Linked DNA regions of Arabidopsis thaliana. The protein of the gene in region 2 interacts with the protein of the main gene of each other region in a pairwise test. Each region holds a gene or a part of one and is shown on either strand. Other genes may lie near its edges.

Region 1 (4,670 bases), on a different chromosome or scaffold from region 2:
CCAGCTACGAGCGGAACGATTCTCGGAGGGATCACACGTAAGAGCATAATCGAAATCGCCCTTGATCTTGGTTACAAAGTTAGTAGTTATTCCACGTCTTTTTTCTTCTAACACCGTTTCCAATCTTGAGTCAAAAAACAGAGCAATACTCTGTTTCAAAATAGGAATACTTTTGATGCATGGAAGTTTTGATAAGTGTGTAATGGACTCAGGTGGAAGAACGAAGTGTTCCGGTAGAAGAACTGAAGGAAGCTGAAGAAGTTTTCTGCACTGGAACTGCCGCTGGAGTTGCTTCTGTTGGAAGCATCACTTTTAAGAACACAAGGTCTCTTCTTCCTCTCTGGATACATGTATACATATGCTTAGAATTTTACATTTATCTGTTGATAAATAATCTGCAGGACTGAGTACAAAGTTGGAGATGGGATTGTTACACAGCAACTTCGATCTATTCTTGTCGGAATACAAACTGGTTCTATCCAAGACACTAAAGATTGGGTTTTGCAGATTGCCTAAGTTACTTTCATATCCTATAAATAATGTTGCACTCTCTTGATCACCCATCAAAAGCTTTTGAAATAGTTTTTGGTAAATTTGTGACATAAATTTGTGATATATCACCACATCGTATTAGTATTAAACATTTGTTTCACTCTTCCAAAGAGACAAAAGCAAAACTAAAGACCTTCAACTTCAAGGTCAGGATATGTAATCTAATGGTTTGTCTTTGTGGCATTTTGCCACCATTGGTTCAAAATACCATTGCTGTATGATCAGCCTCCTCAGATTCTATTTGCCAGACTCTACGGCGGTATATTCGCTTTTAGAAAAAAAACAATTTTGTCGAAACTTTTTTTTTTTTGTAAATATTGTAGATTCCACACACAAGACTGTCTAAGATTCTTTGATAAGACACGACAAATGCGATTTAAGATTTTTCAAAGAAATGAGGTTCGTTGATTGTTCCACTAGGTTTGGTATATTTATAATTTGAATTTTTTTTTTTAAAGATATTTATAAGAAAACGAAGGAGTGTGCTCGCGTCAAGTGTGTACTAATAGTCGATGACACTAGTGATACGACGATACTGGAAAGGGACATCAATATTCATTAGTAAGCCATCTTAGCAAAAACGTTGTTATCAGATAAGAAAAGTTCTCAGACTGACGTGGCTGTCAATCTCCACAACGTGTTTATCTCCCATTTGGGTAGTTACGGACAAAGACGTTGAAAAGACAACAATATGGTCTAAAAGATTGACATGGAAAGAAAATTGTTTATCCGACAAAGACCTCTTGGTCCAACGTGGCTTTCACATCACTAGTTTACTATTTCACATCTCATGGAAAATTACTGAAATTAGTACTTGTCTGTATTTTGTTTTTTCGTCAAGTATTTGTTTGTATACTTTAGGTAATTGCGTGCCGAAGAAACATTGCTAAATTGATATTTATACCAACTTACAATAGTTTACAGTTCAAAAATAGAAATCTCCATTTTGAAGATACACCACTAATTTTCTTCATTTATTTACCCCATAAGAGAACGAGAAAAGAACAATAGTCCGTTGATTTCGTTAAAATCTAGTTTCAGAAAGACACGTCTAGATCTGTCTGATCAGGGCAGATAGACACAAGTGACGAAGCAAAAGAAACACAAAAATAAGATAAGAACTCTTACCACTAAAAGATAAAAATAAGAAAAAAAATAAAACAAATTCAACGATTTGCCAAGATAAAAGCAGACACTGTACATAAGCTCCGCATTCACTTACGTGTTGGATACTTAATTTGACACTCTTCTTTGTGTTTTCTCTTCCACCTTCTTTTTCGGTATATCATTCAACAAAATTCTCTCTTCATTTCTTTATTTTGTTGTTTTTTTTATTATTATTGAAATCAAGAGAATTAAAACAGAGGCTCTGCAAAAGAAGATGATCAAAACAATCACATCTCTACGCAAAACTCTGGTTCTACCTCTTCATTTACATATTCGTACGGTATAAACTGGATTCTTACAATCTAATGATGATTACTTACTTAGAGACATAACTCGGATCTCAGATACAAACATGTTTTATGTTCTGTTTTTTTTGTCCTGATGAAATAGCTACAAACTTTCGCCAAGTACAACGCACAAGCTGCATCGGCTTTGCGAGAAGAGCGTAAGAAACCTCTTTATCAGTAAGTTCTCTTTTTCATGATCCAGCCAGGTCATATAGATATTTTGTTACCATTGGAAAAAGCTCTGTTTCAAATTTGTTGTAATTGTATCATATAGAAATGGAGATGATGTATATGCGGATTTGGATTGGGATAATCTCGGGTTTGGTCTAAATCCAGCTGATTACATGTATGTCATGAAATGCTCAAAAGACGGCGAATTCACTCAAGGAGAACTTAGTCCCTATGGGAATATTCAGCTAAGTCCTTCTGCTGGAGTCTTAAACTATGGACAGGCAAGGATCTCGTAACCCCCAAATGTTTCTTGATTTGTTTCTCAACTGTATGATCAATAGAGGTTTTGGGATTCTTTGCAGGCGATATACGAAGGTACAAAAGCATACAGGAAAGAAAATGGGAAGCTTCTTTTGTTTCGTCCGGATCACAACGCTATCCGGATGAAGCTTGGCGCTGAACGGATGCTCATGCCTTCTCCTTCGGTTGATCAGTTTGTTAATGCAGTTAAACAAACCGCTCTTGCAAACAAACGTTGGGTAAAAACGCTTTCTTGTGACGTATATTTCTTCTGAAGAGGTTTGTTTTTGGGATCTGATAAGTGATGATGTGTTTGTTCAGGTTCCTCCTGCAGGGAAAGGGACTTTGTACATTAGGCCTTTGTTGATGGGAAGTGGTCCAATACTTGGTTTAGGTCCTGCACCTGAATATACATTCATTGTCTATGCATCTCCAGTTGGTAACTACTTCAAGGTATATACAATACTCTTGCATGTCCATGCTTTTTGGCGATGGAACGATTAGCAAATGTTTTGTTCACTGATTTGTAGGAAGGGATGGCTGCTCTTAACCTCTATGTTGAGGAAGAATATGTCCGAGCGGCTCCTGGTGGAGCTGGAGGCGTCAAGAGCATCACAAATTATGCGCCAGTAAGTGTTGAAACCAACTTAGTTTCTCAAAGACCAGAGTCAGAAAAAGAGTTTTGATAAACCACGTGTTTGTAGGTTTTGAAAGCACTGAGCAGAGCCAAGAGTCGGGGGTTTTCAGACGTTCTTTATCTCGACTCTGTCAAGAAGAAGTACTTAGAGGAGGCTTCTTCTTGCAACGTCTTTGTTGTCAAGGTAAGATATATTGTGGTGTCTCCATGTCTCTTTGTTGCATCCTAATTGTATCATTGATTCAGGGTCGGACAATCTCAACTCCTGCAACTAATGGAACAATTCTTGAAGGGATTACGCGGAAAAGTGTGATGGAGATCGCAAGTGATCAAGGTTATCAGGTAACACAGATAAGATTGAATCACTCTAAACACCCAAAAACTAAACTCAGCTAAGTTTCACACCTGAGTTATGATCAGGTAGTAGAGAAGGCAGTTCATGTGGATGAAGTAATGGATGCAGATGAAGTTTTTTGCACCGGAACTGCTGTAGTAGTTGCTCCCGTGGGCACTATCACATATCAGGAAAAAAGGTAAATCTCAATGCCTGAATCAAGTTTTACTCAAGCCTTAAGCAAAGAAATGGACTGATGTAATCTTTCTGAAACATTCAGAGTAGAGTATAAAACCGGGGATGAATCTGTCTGCCAGAAACTGCGTTCAGTCCTCGTAGGTATCCAGACAGGATTGATTGAAGATAACAAGGGATGGGTCACAGATATCAACTGAAGAATAACAATCTTCAATATTTTGCCACAAAGGAGATTACTCTGCATTTTAAGCTGTGTATACACGACAATGAAGAACACTATAAACATATATATGAGATAGAAACAGAAAGCTCTTTTGCTCATTTCTATATCGTAAAGTCAATGTCTTTCACAAAACTATGACAAAGAAAAGAATCGTCTATTGTACTTGTAGACAAGTGTTTCCAAGGATAGTTTCATTTCCTCCTGCAGTAACTCCAAATTTACATTTCATTTTAGGAGGCAAAACTGTATATACGTTTCAATGGCTTTCCCCACTTCTTACTTTCATCACCCATAAGGGTTTCAACTACTAAAATTGTAACTCAACTGCAAAAACACCTTTTCATCTGCAGAGTTATAAAGTATACATTGTAACTCAAGTATCTATGTTCGTTTGTAGATCTCGGCAAACCCTGGGGAATTACGAATTGGGGAAGCACTGGGACAGGATTTCACCTCAAGATCAAGACCAGATTTACTTCTCTGGAACTCCCATATGTAATCAGCTTTAAGATTCTCTTTCTCAGGCTTCAACTCTTCAGAATCTGGTAACTCCTGATCTGAGCAAGGAGAAGTGCAACCAGCTTTGCTGGATTCTTCAGAACACGTTGGTATCTGAGAGTATGCAACTTTCAAGTTGTTATGTATCTCTTCCATCTTTCCTGTCATCTCATCTGCTCTGTCCATAGCGATAAGAATCTGAAAGAAACTCATACATCAATATCTCTCAGGAGATGCAAATCGAGGTTATGAAAAGATGAGTAATATATATATATATGTATATATACCTCGGCTGGATATTTC
Region 2 (6,733 bases):
ACCCAAACTAAAATTGTACACAAGATGAGTTCTGAAAAAAAATTCATTGACTTCAATAACTAACTTAAACCCCACATGAATATCTCTAAAATACCAAAAATCCAGACCAAAATCCAAAAAAGAACAAAACTTTTCACAACTAATTTCACAATGAGCAGGTATAAACTCGTTTAGATATCAATGAACAATTAACAAAACCAATAAGCATGAGAATTCTGTAAGAAGTCCACATAAAAACTCAATCAGATAATCGGATAAACTAAAATTCAACACAATTAACTCCAATTGCGACCTAAACGCATCAAGATGAGCTTAACAACGATATAACAAAAGCGTAGAGGAGATATAATTCGATGATCCAACGAACAACCACTTGAGCGATTCGAGAAACTTCCAAAAATACTTCAATCAAAAACAAAATAACATCTAAACAATAGAAGGAAGACGGAAAAAACCCAGGGAAGTGTAATTGAATCACCTCGAGCTTACGAACGGCGACGGCATTGGAAGAGCCGGTGATGGTCATGAAGGTGTCAATAGCTTCCTGAGTAGGTGTCGCCATTAGAAAAGAGAAAGCTTGAGAGAAGTTTTTCGTCGGAGATTTGTGTTTGGAGCTGGAGTGAAGGAGGAGGCAAGAATTAATATATGTTGTAAATCACAAAAATTGCAGTGAAGAAAGGAATTGGATCGGTGACTCTTAAGATTTTTAAAGCCTTTTTTAGGGTCTTTCTTCTTTTCCATTTTTTTTAATTCTCCTTTTTTATTTGGTGTGGATTTTCTTAAACTTTATTTTCTTTATTCTTTTTGTATATTTTCGGTGATATTCAAGATATTATTTTCAGAGAACTTGAGATAATATATGGAGTGTCCTAATCTGAATAACTAAATAAATAATTATTCAGTTGAAATTGGATTTTTTTTTTCAGAGTCTTTATATTTTATAAACTGGAATTCGAGTCAAATTCAGAGTGGATTAAACTTATCTTTTTAGTTTTTACTAGCCAAGAACTTTTTGACCTTTTTTTTTAACATGATATTAATTGTTATAGTGTATATACATTAAAAGTTAGATAATTTTTAATGTACAAAAAAAAAGTTACATAATTTATTTTTTTTCACACCAATTACATATTTTATTTGTCAATTTGACAGTAAATATGGAAATAAGCCTTAAAATGTAAAGGCTTTTCGGTCCAACAACGAAAAACCAAAACCAAACCCAAAACTAAAATATCCAAAGATATCCTCACTTTATGATCATCCCAATCTTCCCTCTATATAGTGCCTTTAAAGGAGCTGTCATGTTCTCTTTCGGCCGTTTGTAATATAAGAATTGTCGTTTTTGTCCAAAAAAAAGGGTTGGCTTTCAGTTTGTGTCCCAGAAACAAAGTAAATCTTTAGATAAATTGAAACAAAACTAGCTTTGTGACTCCAATTAAACTTTGCTTCCTCTAAGAAACCTTATGGAGAGTATTATTCTACAATGATTTGAAGTATACTACTAATAATTGATTACATTTAAATTCAACTATAATTTATTGTTATTGTTCTTCAATCAACTTGAACTTTGAGTTTATTGGGCACATTACTTTTAGAGGAATGTGAATGTGAACATTGAAGAGACGTGTATTTTATTTTCTTCTTGACAAATACCGTTGGAGGTATAAAAACACCATCAAACTCAGGCCCATTTGGCAATGGCGGCAACAAGAATGGGTATTATATTGAGGTTAATTTCGTCAATCACCACTTTTAAATCGTGACAAATTCGTCTATTATCTCTCAATCTTCTTCAACCTTCAATTACATCGGCAATTCTACAAGTGGCAGCATCCTATTAGTAACAAACACACGTGGCGTAAGCTAATGCGTCGTAGTGTTTATAATAGCTGGGGTTTGTTAATTATGGCGTCACGAGTGATTTAAGAAGCAGCTGAAAAATAATAAACAATGAGGGAATGCCAACGTTTTAAATTATATTTTTAATTTGTGAATTTTCATCAGAGTCGGATCTTGATGCGACTGCTCAAACAGAGTCACCGGCGATTACGATGGCCGGAAACAACTCGGAATCGAGTCTCTACCAGGTTTTGGTGGAGTGGTGTCAGAGGATGGAGACGAGTCAAGCGAGACTAAGGGAGGATGTTGATGACTTATTGCTTCAGGAGGAGAGTCGAACCGGTAAGGAATCGGCGACGGGATTGGAGACGGACACGGAGAAAGAGGCTGAGGTAGAGGTGGAAGCGGAGGCGGCGGATTCCTGGGATAATCCGACGGCGACTTGGGAGAGAGCTGTTTCAGGATTCTATTTCGCTGATAGTGCGTATCGGACTTTGATGGATTCAATGGGACACGCGATTCATGTAACATCAGCTGCGTCTGGAGAAATTACATTCTGGTGAGCTTGATAAGTTCTTCTTCTTCATCTATGGTGTTTGTAGATCAGGAGCTTATAGTTCTTCTAAGTACTGTTTCATTGAATTGTGTGTTTAAGTAGTTAAACAAAGTTATATATAGCGATTCATTGTATATGCAAGTGGACATTTACTATTTGTTTCTGAGTGGAGAGATTCTTTTATTATTATTCAGGAGTCGTTCTGCTGAGAATCTGTACCATTGGTATGCTGAGGAAGTTGTTGGCTACAGAACTATTGATGTGCTTGTAACCGAAGAATACCGTAATTCCCTTACTGGTATCAGGAATAGGGTGTGCCGTGGAGAGACTTGGACTGGTCAGTTTCCGTTTCAGAAGAAAACTGGTGAACTATTTATGGCTTTGGTGACTAAAAGCCCTGTGTATGAAAACGGTGAGCTGGTTGGTGTTGTTACTGTCTCGAGCGATGCAACCCTTTTCAATAGGATGCATCCACTAAGTAATGAGCATCAACAACAAGCTCGTAGTAATAATAGACATGAATCAAACTTGAGAAAACATCAGTGGCACCTCCCGAGGCCTCAGATCGCTGCAGCATCACAGGTTCCAGTTGTCCCACAATATTCATCAGCTGTTGCTTCAAACCTGGTAGATCTCACATCATGAATGTTCGAAGTTTCTCAGTACTTTTTTTTATATAATAATTCGTGTGCAACATGAATGATTGTTTGTTTTGCTGTTTTCTGCACAAACCAAGAAGGCGTCGAAGCTTCTACCACAGAGAAATGGAGATGATTCCTTCAATGGAAATCATAATTCGAGGAGCCGAGATGAAAATGTTCCGGTTGTTGCCTCCACAACTTTCGAGAAGTATGGCTCACTGGTAAGTCTTCGTTGGCTCCTTAAACAAGACACTTCTCATTGACATTTCTTAGAACGATTATTGTCTCATGTTATAAGCTAAATCTGCATATACACTAGTGTAGGCGGATAAGTTTTTGGGGAAGCTGCAAAGGAAGATTACTGGCAGCCAAGGAACCGAAGATAATGAGCCTATCTTAAGAAACGGTATCAATAAGTCAGCATGTGGCAGTGGAGGTAGTTCTAAGGCTTCTAATGCAGTTACCTGCACGGCTTTCAGAGACAATGGCAATGGAAAACCAAAAAGGGCTGAAGTTAGAATTTCAGATGTCTATGGAAATGGAGCTGAGGGTTTGATACATAATGGAGATCGCTTTCAGTATATTGGGAACCTGGGACAAAGTAAACCTCCCAGAGGACTAGAGAGTGGTTTGGTGTCTGGCATGCGGGGAACAAAAATGTCGGACCTAAATGGTGAGATAGAAGATGCTTGGAATACTCGTCTTAGTGTTGATCCCTTGCCAATTCTAGGAGTCAACAGCGGTAGGCAACAAAGTCCTGTCAACCAAAGGAATAATAGATTAGTTACTGATTCGTCATGTGAGATACGATGGGAAGATCTACAACTTGGGGAGGAGGTCGGAAGAGGTGTATTTCATTTACCAAAGTCTTACACTCGTTTTCACGTTTTAGATATGCAAATTCAATTCAGATCTGTGTCATTGCTGTTTAAATCAGATTACAAGTATTTCTGATGCGTTACATTTTCTCACAGGTTCATTTGCTGCGGTTCATCGTGGAGTTTGGAATGGATCGGTGAGTTTTCTGTAATTTAAGATAAAATAAGGATGATTCTAGTATTAGTTGCACATGGATAACTAACTAGTCCAATCTATTTGGACCAGGATGTTGCTATTAAGGTTTACTTCGATGGTGATTACAATGCGATGACTTTGACGGAGTGCAAAAAGGAGGTATGTATAATTAGTTCTCTCTGTTATGAATTGTTTCTAGAAGTTACTCGTACCAGACAAAATAAATCAGTTTTGATCAATAATATCTTCAGATCAACATTATGAAGAAACTGAGACATCCGAATGTGCTACTATTTATGGGAGCAGTATGTACAGAAGAAAAATCTGCCATAATCATGGAATATATGCCAAGGTGAGATTATTGACGTATGGATCTGGAAGTAGTGTTACTCCTTATCGAGTGTGTTATATTATGCTGCAAGAAATTGCAGATGAATACTCTGTGCTAAGTTATTTCTATACGGTTTTGATGATTAGAGGGAGTCTCTTCAAAATACTTCATAATACGAATCAGCCATTGGACAAGAAACGCCGTTTAAGAATGGCCCTTGATGTTGTAAGACTCTGATCTTCCAAAAACCTCCCTCACAATGAAAGAAAAAAATATGAAAGGCTGATTATATTCGGGTTCTCTGTTGTTGTTGCAGGCTAGGGGAATGAATTACTTACACCGCAGAAATCCGCCAATTGTACATAGAGACTTGAAATCTTCCAATCTACTCGTGGACAAGAACTGGAATGTCAAGGTACAAACAGTTTTCTCAAGTTACATTTATGAAGACTTGTAAAATGAGTTTACTATTGCATGGACTTTCAACTCTTTCTTCCCTAGGTTGGAGACTTTGGGTTATCAAAGTGGAAGAACGCAACCTTCTTGAGTACTAAATCCGGGAAAGGAACTGTAATGTTTAACAAAAGCCATTTCTGATTCTTTTAATCCACAAAACAGTCTTGGATTTCTGTTACTAAACATTGTTCAACTTTTTTCTATGTGCAGCCGCAGTGGATGGCTCCTGAAGTTCTCAGAAGTGAACCTTCGAATGAGAAGTACGTTGGATATAATATTAACCCTTTTTTGTTCTCTTTTCGAAGACATTATTCAATAACTTGAACATTTTTTTGGACTAAAAGCTCAATGCTTTCGTTGTAATAGGTGTGATGTGTTCAGCTTTGGAGTCATCTTATGGGAGCTAATGACTACGTTAGTACCATGGGACCGTTTGAACTCTATTCAGGTACCTCTCAAATTCTGTTCTTATGAGATTATAGCTTGATCATAAGATTGTAGTAATCTTAGCAACTTTAAATTAGGTTGTTGGAGTTGTTGGTTTCATGGATCGACGATTAGACTTACCTGAAGGATTAAATCCCCGGATCGCATCCATAATACAGGATTGTTGGCAAACGTAAGAAGACGCATCTGTAAATTGTTTCATCAAATACACCCTACAAACTTAGGGGCGATTTTTCTTATATTCTTTGTTCTAAATTGTTGAAACAGTGATCCAGCAAAACGACCGTCGTTCGAGGAATTAATTAGTCAGATGATGAGCCTGTTCCGCAAACCAGGGTCAGGTGCGCAAGAAGAAGACGATTGAGAAGGTAAACAGTACATGGTTAAAGGATAGTTCACAAAGCAAAGGACGTGAAAAGAAAACGAAAGCATCGTCCTGATCACTTACTATACAAATGTTTCATTGTGTTATACCAAACTACTATTTATGTTTTCATTGAAAGAAAGAAAGCAAAAATAGCTAAATCAAAGTAATATACAGTAGAATCTTAGGTTAGTTTAGTTAAACTATGCATTATATAAACTGTTGTCGGTTTATGAGCTAAGTTGTAAAATGGGATCTAAAAAGGCAGAGGCGCAGAGGCCAGAGGAGGACTCAGATGTAATTTAAGAAGTAAAAGGGTGAAAAAGAGAAATACGAGAAAAACTGTGAGATTGATGGTGTCTTGTAGTGAATTGTAATGTAGTTGGTTTTGGTTTGATGGGGTAAGAGAAGGAGGAGTGACAATTCGTAGGCATTGCTTCTTTTGCTTTAATATTCTCTTATTACAGCTTCCCATCACTGCGTCGTCTGTAGCTTCTCAGCACCTAATTATAAGAGAGAGTCAGAACCCTAAATAAAACTTTTTTTTCAATCCTTATTCGTAATTCCACATTACAGCATCTTGAAATTGACGCAGTCACAAAAGCATAATTAAAAAAAAAAGGATACAAAGATGGGTCTATTATACCGAGTATGTATTGTGCATGCATGTGACGTGGGTGAAGGGAACTTCTCTTATAGAAGTATTGAAAAAGGAGAAATTTTGGGGGATTGAAAATATTTGTCTGTTTGTCTGGTTAGGTCAGAACAAATCACATCGAGCTGCATAGTAATATTTCGTTTACAACACATGGTTGTGACCTCTAGACAAATAAACTTTTTAACAGTTTTCGCTGTTTTGCCTTGCATGTATTTCGTAGTATTTCAATTTATATGTAACTATATTTCAATTGAAACATCTTTACCATATTATTTTCTTTTTTGATGCCAATTTCTTTACCATGTGTTTGCTCTTGTGTTATTTATGTGTGATTGATTGATTGACCGTGTCGATTACCCAAGCGGAATCTTGTAAAGGGATACTCCGTCACCGTAATACAGTGACAGCATATTTAATTTAAAATAAT
Region 3 (4,522 bases), 140 kb from region 2:
TATGATGTCTTTTAAAACTTTTGAAAATTTTATATTTAGTATGCATGCTTACTTACATAGTTACATGTATGAATGTTTTATCTAGAACTCTAGTCTCTAGAAGGATATCCACATTATGCTACAAAAGTAATATAAATATCGACCAAAATTTGTGTAGCCTATGTGTCAAGGTTCTGATTTACACTTGAAAATACGCAAATGAGTTCTAGATGATGGAAAAATGATACACTATATCTCGAATGTTTTTACAAAATTATTAGATAGAATTTATCTCTACGTCAAATTGAAATTTTTGACAACTTGTTGTTGCCTTTACAATTTTTATTAGCAAGATCAAGATTAGATCATTATGTATAAATTCTATTTACTCACTTTTCGTTTAATACGCAATGCCATAGAAGTGTCTTGTGATTAATTGAACCATCTCATACGTTCTACATTAAAAAGTTCTTACTTTTTACTTTTTAGTAGTGCTGTATTTTCACAGTTGTTTTTGTATGATTAAGGAAGACTAATGCACTAATCTCTCCACCATTCTCGGTAGAAATGTCGACTTTGAGATATCATATTTTTATTAAAGCAATAAAACAAATAGCGAAATGCAACACAAGAAACATTTGAACTTTTTACAAAGCTCACTTTGAAATTTGAAAGTGTTATTACATTCAAACCAAAAGATATCAATCATATAATTTGGCTAATAAAACACATTTAAAAGTCTTAACTACTTAGCAAAAACCAATTTATCGAGTAGAGAGAGATTCAATCTCAAATTTGATGAAAAATGAACAAAAATGGGGACAGACTCAATTCGCTGCAACTTTCTTATCCCCAAGTAGTACAGCTTCTTTCTCTCGCCACACCGCATGAACCTCGTCTGTGCGAAATCGTTGTGTAAAGGTAGAGTCTTCGATCGGTGTTTCAATACCATTAACAAACGCGAGTAGACCTGTGTAAGCGATCATAGCTCCATTATCGATGCAGTAACGGTCATCTGTTGCAAACAGCTTACCATCACGTTCTGAGCACATAGTCCTCATCATTTCCTGCAAACGCTCGTTACACCCAACACCGCCAACTATCAAAACGTCTTTCTTGTCACAATGCGCCATCGCTCTTTCTGTGATCTCAACCAACATCGCAAACACCGTCTCCTGCAAGATCAACAAACATGAATTCATGATATTACTCTTAAACAGTCCAAAATTTGCATTCATGTGACAAAATTCATCAGTTAAGAACCAAGTGATAGCCTTACTTGAAGGGAATAACACAAGTCTGCTGGTGTACACTCGTTATTCTTGAGCTTCTCCTCTGCAGTAGTTTCGATATAACTCAAGATTCCGCTGAACGATACATCCATACCTTTAACAGCATACGGAAGATCAATAAAGTTTTCTCCTTTCTTAGCAAGCTAGTAACAACACCAAAAACCGTGTTAACATTGTTCTTGAATCTTTCAAGAATTCAAATTTACTTTACTTTCAAATGAAATCTACCTGTTCAATGTTATAACCAGGGCTTGGATCATTAGAAAGCTTCAAGACTCTAGCAAACCGATCCAAACAATTACCAACAGCAATATCAATAGTCTCACCAAAAATCCGGTACCTACCTTCACTATAAGCAATCACCTGAGTGTTACCACCACTCACATACAACACAACAGGATCATCAGCTCCAGTAACTACTCTCCCCATCTCAATGTGAGCCACACAATGATTCACAGCAACAATTGGCTTTTTCCAAAGCTGTGACAATACTCTAACAACAATGGCTGAAACCTGCAACGGCGCTCCCATCCCGGGACCTTTCGTATAACAAATACAGTCGATTTCTTCAGGAGTAACTTGAGAAGTCTCTAAAGCTGATTTGACTAAAGGAAGAACATGGTCAAGATGGTGATGTGCAGTCTCTCTAGGAAGAAAACCATGACCAGGTGGTGTTATATACGTATGCCGAGGATTTGCTAAGATAGTACCGTCTAAAGTCACAATTCCAACTCCAATCTTGTTAGCTGATCCTTCGAAACCAATGGCTATCATCTTCTTCTTCATTTCTTTGATTTAAAAACAGAAACTTTCTACACAGAGAACAACAAATTCAGGACTAGGTGAAGTAAAAATCCAAACTTTATTCTGAATCAATTTGAACTAACACAAATTATAGCCTTAGACGTTGAAGATGATGAACAAAATTAATCCTTTCGTTGATTGGTATTGGTATTGAGAGAGACCCAACAAAGAGATTCGTATAACCTAGGTTTCGTTTCCTTAGATGAAAGAGCCCTAAACCCTAATCTAAACACAGAAACCAATTCCATTCGAGACACAACACACTGAACCCATGTACTGTTGTTTGATTTAAATCAAAAACTAACCTGAAGCTGCGTGATGGCCGGAATCAGAAGTAGCTCACAAGCTCAAAGCAAAACGAAATTAGCCAGAGAGTTTAAAGAAGAAAAAGACGGCGATAAAGTCGCCGGGAGAGAAACGACGATGTTGAGTTTCTAGACTGTGTAAACGGCGTCGTTTATAAATGGGCCTAGCCCAATAACGCATATTTTGCCGCTAAGAAGGACTCATTTAGTGTGACGTGAAGTATTTGTGATATAATTATACATTAATTAATTTAAATAATTACAATTTTAATTTGTAACCTTCATACTAATTTGTAATTTGTTGACCCAAGAATTTTAATCGACTTGCCAAAAATATAACTACAATATAGTTTTATAGCTTTGGCATCGACTATTAGGCGTTATTATTGTAAGTAAAACTTTGTTATATTAAATGTTATCAAAAATGTAACTTGACACATCTTTTATACAAAGCATCAAAACTCCAGACACAGATAAAGAAAAGTAAACTTTAAACAAGAAAACTCAATTCAACATCCTTCTTACTTAAGCTGTGTAGAGTTTTGGATCGGACAACCTTGGAACAGGAATAGCCACAAGTGGAGACTTCAACTTAAGAACAAGACCAAACTTCTCTTCAACCTCAAACTTCTGTCCTTGAGGAGCTTTCCAATCAAAAGAGTGAAGAAGTGAAGCAATGTTGAACAGAACAAGTCTCTCAGCCATGTTTATCGCCGCACAAATCCTCCTTCCTGACCCAAAAGGCAAATACTTAAAATCACCTCCATTGAAATCAAGCGAATTCTCCAAAAACCTCTCAGGTTTGAACTCGTTTGGTTCATCCCAATTCTTAGGATCTCTATGAATCGCCCAAACGTTGATGAAAATCTTGGAGTCTTTAGGCACAGTGTATCCCGCAACCACCGAGGTTTCGCTGTTTCTGTGAGGAACAAGAAGAGGAAGCGTAGGGTGAAGCCTAAGAGTCTCTTTCATAACCGCTTGTAGGTAAGGAAGCTTAGGTAAATGTGATTCCTCAACGATGTTGTCTTTGCCAACAACTTGGTCAAGTTCTAGTCGGATCTTGTTTAACACTTCCGGTCTGCTCACAATCTCTGCCATGGCGAATTCGGATGCGTTAACCGATGTGTCGACACCACCAAGAACCATATCCATGAGGAGAGACTTGACATGAGTCATGGACAGAGGAGCTTTCTCATCATCATCTTTAACTCTAAGTAAGTATTGCAAGAAATCTTCTTCTTCTTCGCTCTTCTTTCCCACCATTTTGACGTGACTCTCCATAACTCTATCGAACAAGAGATCAAGCTTCTTCACATGGCCTTTCATCTGCTTAACCAATCCTTGGAAATCGAATCTTGAGAACAACGGAAAGAAATCTGAGTAGTTTTGAATCCCTTCTATGTCGGAGATATCAGATATTAGGGTTTTGAGCTCGTTTCCTAAGCTCGTTCTCTCGTCTCCTTCAACAGTGGCGCCCCACATCATTCTTGTCACGACGTTGAAAATGGAAAGAAATATTTGCTCTCCGAGGTTGACTGGTGATCCTTCACGAGCCATTTCCGACATGTGGACAATGGTTTGTCGGGTTTCTTCCCGGCGAGTGGAGTAGGAAGCTTCGAGACTTGGGGTAGTGAACATCTTCATGACGCAGAGCTTACGAAGTCTCCTCCAATGGGTACCGTAAGGAGACCAGAGGATGTCTTCACCACCGTAAGTGTTGATCTTTCCGACTTCAGGGAGATCGTGGTTGGCGAAAGTGATGTCGTGGGTTTTGAGAACCTCGCGAGCCATGTCAGGGGAAGAGACGACGATCGCAAGTTTGGAACCGAGGTGGATCTTCATGAGAGGGCCATATTTTAGGGTTAGGGCTTGGAATTGCGTGTGGAGGACGTCAGAGTTTAGGAACGGGAGGTTTCCGACGATAGGAAGTGGCCAAGGTCCCGGAGGCAGTGGAGGTTCCTTTTTGGACTTGGACTTCCCCTGAATCCATAAGTAGCATACAACGGCCAAGAGAGCAGCGACGGCCAGCATCACGGAGCTGTACGGCTCCTCAGTGTTGAGGACCTGCGAGAGGTTGATGTTAGACTTAGACGACGCTGTTCCCATTTTTGTCTTCTGAGAAAGATCTCACTGTGGTTCTTG
Region 4 (3,687 bases), on a different chromosome or scaffold from region 2:
AATTATAATAAACCCACCAGAACAAAAAAAAAAAAAAAAAAAACAGTAGACCAAAAACTTATATTTGAATTAAATATAACCCACTAGGTTGGTTGGTTATAATTTATTAACAAAACAAACGGGAATAAAAAATGATAATCTCCACTTGACCAGACTAGTAGCCAATGAAAGACTAGTTGGTAATAGTTTAAGCACGTCTACTTTTGCTTTAGGTCTAATATATATGTTTTATGTAAATGCACATGCTAATCAGGTTTAAATTCCATAACCTGGTTTATAATTTCCCTCTTAGTTAACACGCAGTTCCATCTACATATAGTACCTTCTAATAAATTGTTACGTCCCGAGAATATTATGTGTAATAGACAGATAATTCGAATATATATACTCAATACTTAAAGGTAATTTGATGTTCCCTTAATATGATCCATGATGACGATAAATCTTAAAGTTAAACGAATTGGAGTTTTTTTATTTCTGAACTTTTATCTCTCTGGTAATATTATAGACAGTGGAACAGTTATTGGCTTCATTCTAATTGATTCTTAGATCAGAATATCGGCTTTGTATTATATTTTCTATTTAGAACATTTGGACACAAGGATCAACCAACAAAAAACAAACTTATAGTAATGTTACATACTATGAAGAAATAAATTAATAAGTCTATCATTAACAATACCGATGCATCAAATATTCATTTACAAACCACAAAAGAAAAAAACGGTTAAGAGTAACATTTAAAAGAGTACAAGAAATTAAACAATGTCACAAAGAATGATACCATGTACAAAACAACAAATGGATTAATTCATTTAACAGATTCACCTTAAAATGTTTTATGTACCAGTACTAACACCCTCCAAATCCAAAGTTTTGTGAATCCCCCAACAGTACTTCGAAATTTCCAACATAAATCTCCCAAAGAAATCCCCATTAAATTACAATTCTTTCTAAGCCGATATATCTATTTAAAAAGAAAGAAAAGGTACTCGAAATTTTCTTCCTTGTAAAGAAGATCGAACATCTAAAAGAAATAGAACAACAAAAAAAATTAGATACATAATTGCAATTTATATAAGAAAGATGAGATTATTGCCGGTTGGTACTTCGAGCCAGAGACTGAAGGTTGCACCGGACGATAGTATCAACGAAGCTTAGAGTTTCCTCCTCCGTGTTTCCCGGCGGCACATCAACGATGTAAGACTCCACCACCACGGTACCTTCGTCGTCCGACGCGTGTAGTGTCGTCACCGATCGGTAGTTCTTGAGCCTGTGGTCCCCACCAACGACACTAAAGCTTATCACGTGACGCTCCTCGTCCAAGATCTCGAGCCTCTCGGTGCTCGAGACCGCCGGGAGTCCAGAGACCACCATGACCTCCCGGAGATCGCCGACGTGTAGTCCATCGCCTTGGACGATACGGCACTGTCTGATGAAGTTCTTGTAAACCTTCGGATTATCGAAACGCCGCACAAGAGCCCACACGGACTCAGGCGGCGCGTGGATCATCTGCACCACCGAGGAGCAACACTGGTCCGGACCAACGTCGTGTGTGTGGTGCATCGCAACGTGTTCAGGGACATGCATACCGCGCGTGAGACACACTCTCTTGATCGGACCATCGGTCTGATCGTGAGGCTGCAGCGTGTGGAAACCGTTAGTGGCGTCTGAGCCGTGTTGGAGTTGCACCGGTGACCTCATGATCTCTCCTCTATCTCTTAATTTGTTTTTGGGAGAATTTATGGAATCGTATATATTGCGATCGAGAGAGAAATAAGTTTGATGAGAAAAGAAGAGAGCTAGCTTTTTGATCTTGTTCGCTGTCGGTTGTCAAGTTGGTTTTGTTTGAGAAATTTAAAAAGTATGATCATCTTTTATTTTATAACAATAACAATAAGATATGAACATTGTGTGTTTTTAAAAATATATATTTGAAGATAGATGGATAGAGATAGCTGGGGATGTGAAGGCTTTGTGTTTGTATGTATATAGAAACAGTTGTGTATATAGACGCATTTGTATCATATAGATGTGTGTGACCATGTATGATACATTGTACCATCTTATGCCCCCATGATTTCTTTCCTCAGACGCCTCCTTCATTATCTTGAATATATATCACCAAAATTAATTGTATTCTATAGATCCCTCATTTCCATCTTGATAAATTTTATATTATAGAATCTACAAGGTTTATCTACATATGAATACTGTTAATAAATTGTTCATAGAAAAAACTGAAATTTCAGAATTAGTTTTATCTTTTTTTTTTAAATAAATCATTAGTTATAGTAAAATATGTTGCTGTTATTGTTAAAATTTACTTATTATATGCACATTCTGATCTTAATCTACTAAAGTGATAGTTATGAGAAATAACATGTACAATTTTTGAATATCACACGACTGTAACGCGCATGATTGATTGATTGTGGTAAATTTTAAGATAGACATGGTCATCATGGCGAAGTAAAAACTACATACATGCATGAGCACACGTGCATGCACAGATGTTGATGGGTTTGTCATATATGTGTAAATGGCGTATGTAAATGTGGTGTATGTATGGAGAGAGAAAGTCGGAGGACGGTGAGAGACCTTATCAAAGAGCTTACGCCGGACGAAGCAAGTGGATGTTGCAACTTGCAATCTTCTTTGGACTTGTTTAGGTGGAAGATTATCCTTTCCTTTTTTTCTCTATTTTCTTTTGTTCTTGTTGCCCATTTTTATATTATATTCTCATCATATAGTACAAAGGTTGTTGCATCGCGACTTTGTAATTTTTTCAATAAATAATAATATTTTGCGACATGGGTATGGTACTCTACATCAAGTTTCATGTACACTCGAATTGTATAGGCATGCAAACGTGCAATTTTACTATTTTTTTCTAAACCAACTATGATAATTGTCGTAATTAATTATAGAGGAATGCATTCAGTAATCCCACTACATTTTTTGAAAAGACTGATCTACAAGAAAATAATATTTATACGGTATAAATTATACCCTGTCAATGAGATAAAACGTAAAAAAAAAATGTAATCGTAATTTGTAAGACTAGTTAATAAATCTTGTGGGTTTTTAGAAATATTCGACCATCACACCAAAAAAAACAAGAGACCACATGTGGGTTTTTAGATTTTGTTTAACTTTCTAATTAAAAATTCAAGGCCCAATCGTTTGTTTTTTTAAAAATATTATACGAAATCATGCCCTGTAAGAATAACGAGAGAGCTTCACGGAACTCATAAGACCATCTCCAATGGTGAGAGCCTCCTAATGGGATCTCACCATTTTTTAAGTATAAATCTTTTGAATTTGTAAGATGAGAGCTTCTGATTTTTTTGAAAGATTTTTCATAGTCCAATGGTAAGTCTCTTTTAAAAGAGTTGTCTGGAAAAAAAATTATTCACAATAGAAAAAATGAGAATCATAGAAGAAATGTCTAACATGAGAGGCTGAGACCATATATTCACAATTCCTTACCATGTGAAAGCAAGTAAATAAAGAGGAATGAGATAGGAGAGAATAGAAATGCAGTAGACTTCTTGACAAATTAAAACATAAAGGTCAAGGTCAATAGAAATGTAAAACGATATGTGGAATGTTCCGTTGTATGGTTCCGGTCAGACATGATATTACTCTGTTGGAAACTTGCTGCAGGAAATAACAACATATCAG

The links.
Region 1: the proteins of AT4G23050 (region 2) and BCAT-2 interact in a two-hybrid assay, tested with the Arabidopsis thaliana proteins (one large-scale study listed by BioGRID).
Region 3: the proteins of AT4G23050 (region 2) and AT4G22720 interact in a two-hybrid assay, tested with the Arabidopsis thaliana proteins (one large-scale study listed by BioGRID).
Region 4: the proteins of AT4G23050 (region 2) and PYL5 interact in a two-hybrid assay, tested with the Arabidopsis thaliana proteins (one large-scale study listed by BioGRID).

What each region holds. Positions count from the first base shown.
Region 1 is NC_003070.9:3,286,322-3,290,991, forward strand, and holds BCAT-2 (branched-chain amino acid transaminase 2), read left to right. Parts: upstream 1-1,765; 5' UTR 1,766-1,933; coding exon 1,934-1,999; exon of another isoform or gene 2,000-2,109; coding exon 2,110-2,183; intron 2,184-2,280; coding exon 2,281-2,458; intron 2,459-2,539; coding exon 2,540-2,716; intron 2,717-2,798; coding exon 2,799-2,930; intron 2,931-3,007; coding exon 3,008-3,106; intron 3,107-3,181; coding exon 3,182-3,298; intron 3,299-3,360; coding exon 3,361-3,456; intron 3,457-3,534; coding exon 3,535-3,647; intron 3,648-3,728; coding exon 3,729-3,843; 3' UTR 3,844-4,150; downstream 4,151-4,670. Other genes in the region: BCAT-1 (branched-chain amino acid transaminase 1), read left to right, coding at 1-78, 213-325, 402-516; AT1G10090 (Early-responsive to dehydration stress protein (ERD4)), read right to left, coding at 4,251-4,565, 4,655-4,670. UniProt on the Arabidopsis thaliana protein: Converts 2-oxo acids to branched-chain amino acids. Shows activity with L-Leu, L-Ile and L-Val as amino donors and 2-oxoglutarate as an amino acceptor, but no activity for D-isomers of Leu, Ile, Val, Asp, Glu or Ala.
Region 2 is NC_003075.7:12,078,061-12,084,793, forward strand, and holds AT4G23050 (PAS domain-containing protein tyrosine kinase family protein), read left to right. Parts: upstream 1-1,999; 5' UTR 2,000-2,051; coding exon 2,052-2,398; intron 2,399-2,589; coding exon 2,590-3,022; intron 3,023-3,131; coding exon 3,132-3,257; intron 3,258-3,360; coding exon 3,361-3,883; intron 3,884-4,010; coding exon 4,011-4,051; intron 4,052-4,140; coding exon 4,141-4,209; intron 4,210-4,301; coding exon 4,302-4,402; intron 4,403-4,527; coding exon 4,528-4,606; intron 4,607-4,697; coding exon 4,698-4,796; intron 4,797-4,882; coding exon 4,883-4,951; intron 4,952-5,047; coding exon 5,048-5,097; intron 5,098-5,203; coding exon 5,204-5,285; intron 5,286-5,361; coding exon 5,362-5,456; intron 5,457-5,551; coding exon 5,552-5,648; 3' UTR 5,649-6,196; downstream 6,197-6,733. Other genes in the region: AT4G23040 (Ubiquitin-like superfamily protein), read right to left, coding at 479-562.
Region 3 is NC_003075.7:11,935,002-11,939,523, reverse strand, and holds AT4G22720 (Actin-like ATPase superfamily protein), read right to left. Parts: upstream 2,583-4,522; 5' UTR 2,381-2,582; intron 2,084-2,380; 5' UTR 2,058-2,083; coding exon 1,500-2,057; intron 1,415-1,499; coding exon 1,259-1,414; intron 1,155-1,258; coding exon 807-1,154; 3' UTR 555-806; downstream 1-554. Other genes in the region: CYP706A2 (cytochrome P450, family 706, subfamily A, polypeptide 2), read right to left, coding at 2,906-4,486.
Region 4 is NC_003076.8:1,607,391-1,611,077, reverse strand, and holds PYL5 (Polyketide cyclase/dehydrase and lipid transport superfamily protein), read right to left. Parts: upstream 2,091-3,687; 5' UTR 1,705-2,090; coding exon 1,093-1,704; 3' UTR 551-1,092; downstream 1-550. UniProt on the Arabidopsis thaliana protein: Receptor for abscisic acid (ABA) required for ABA-mediated responses such as stomatal closure and germination inhibition.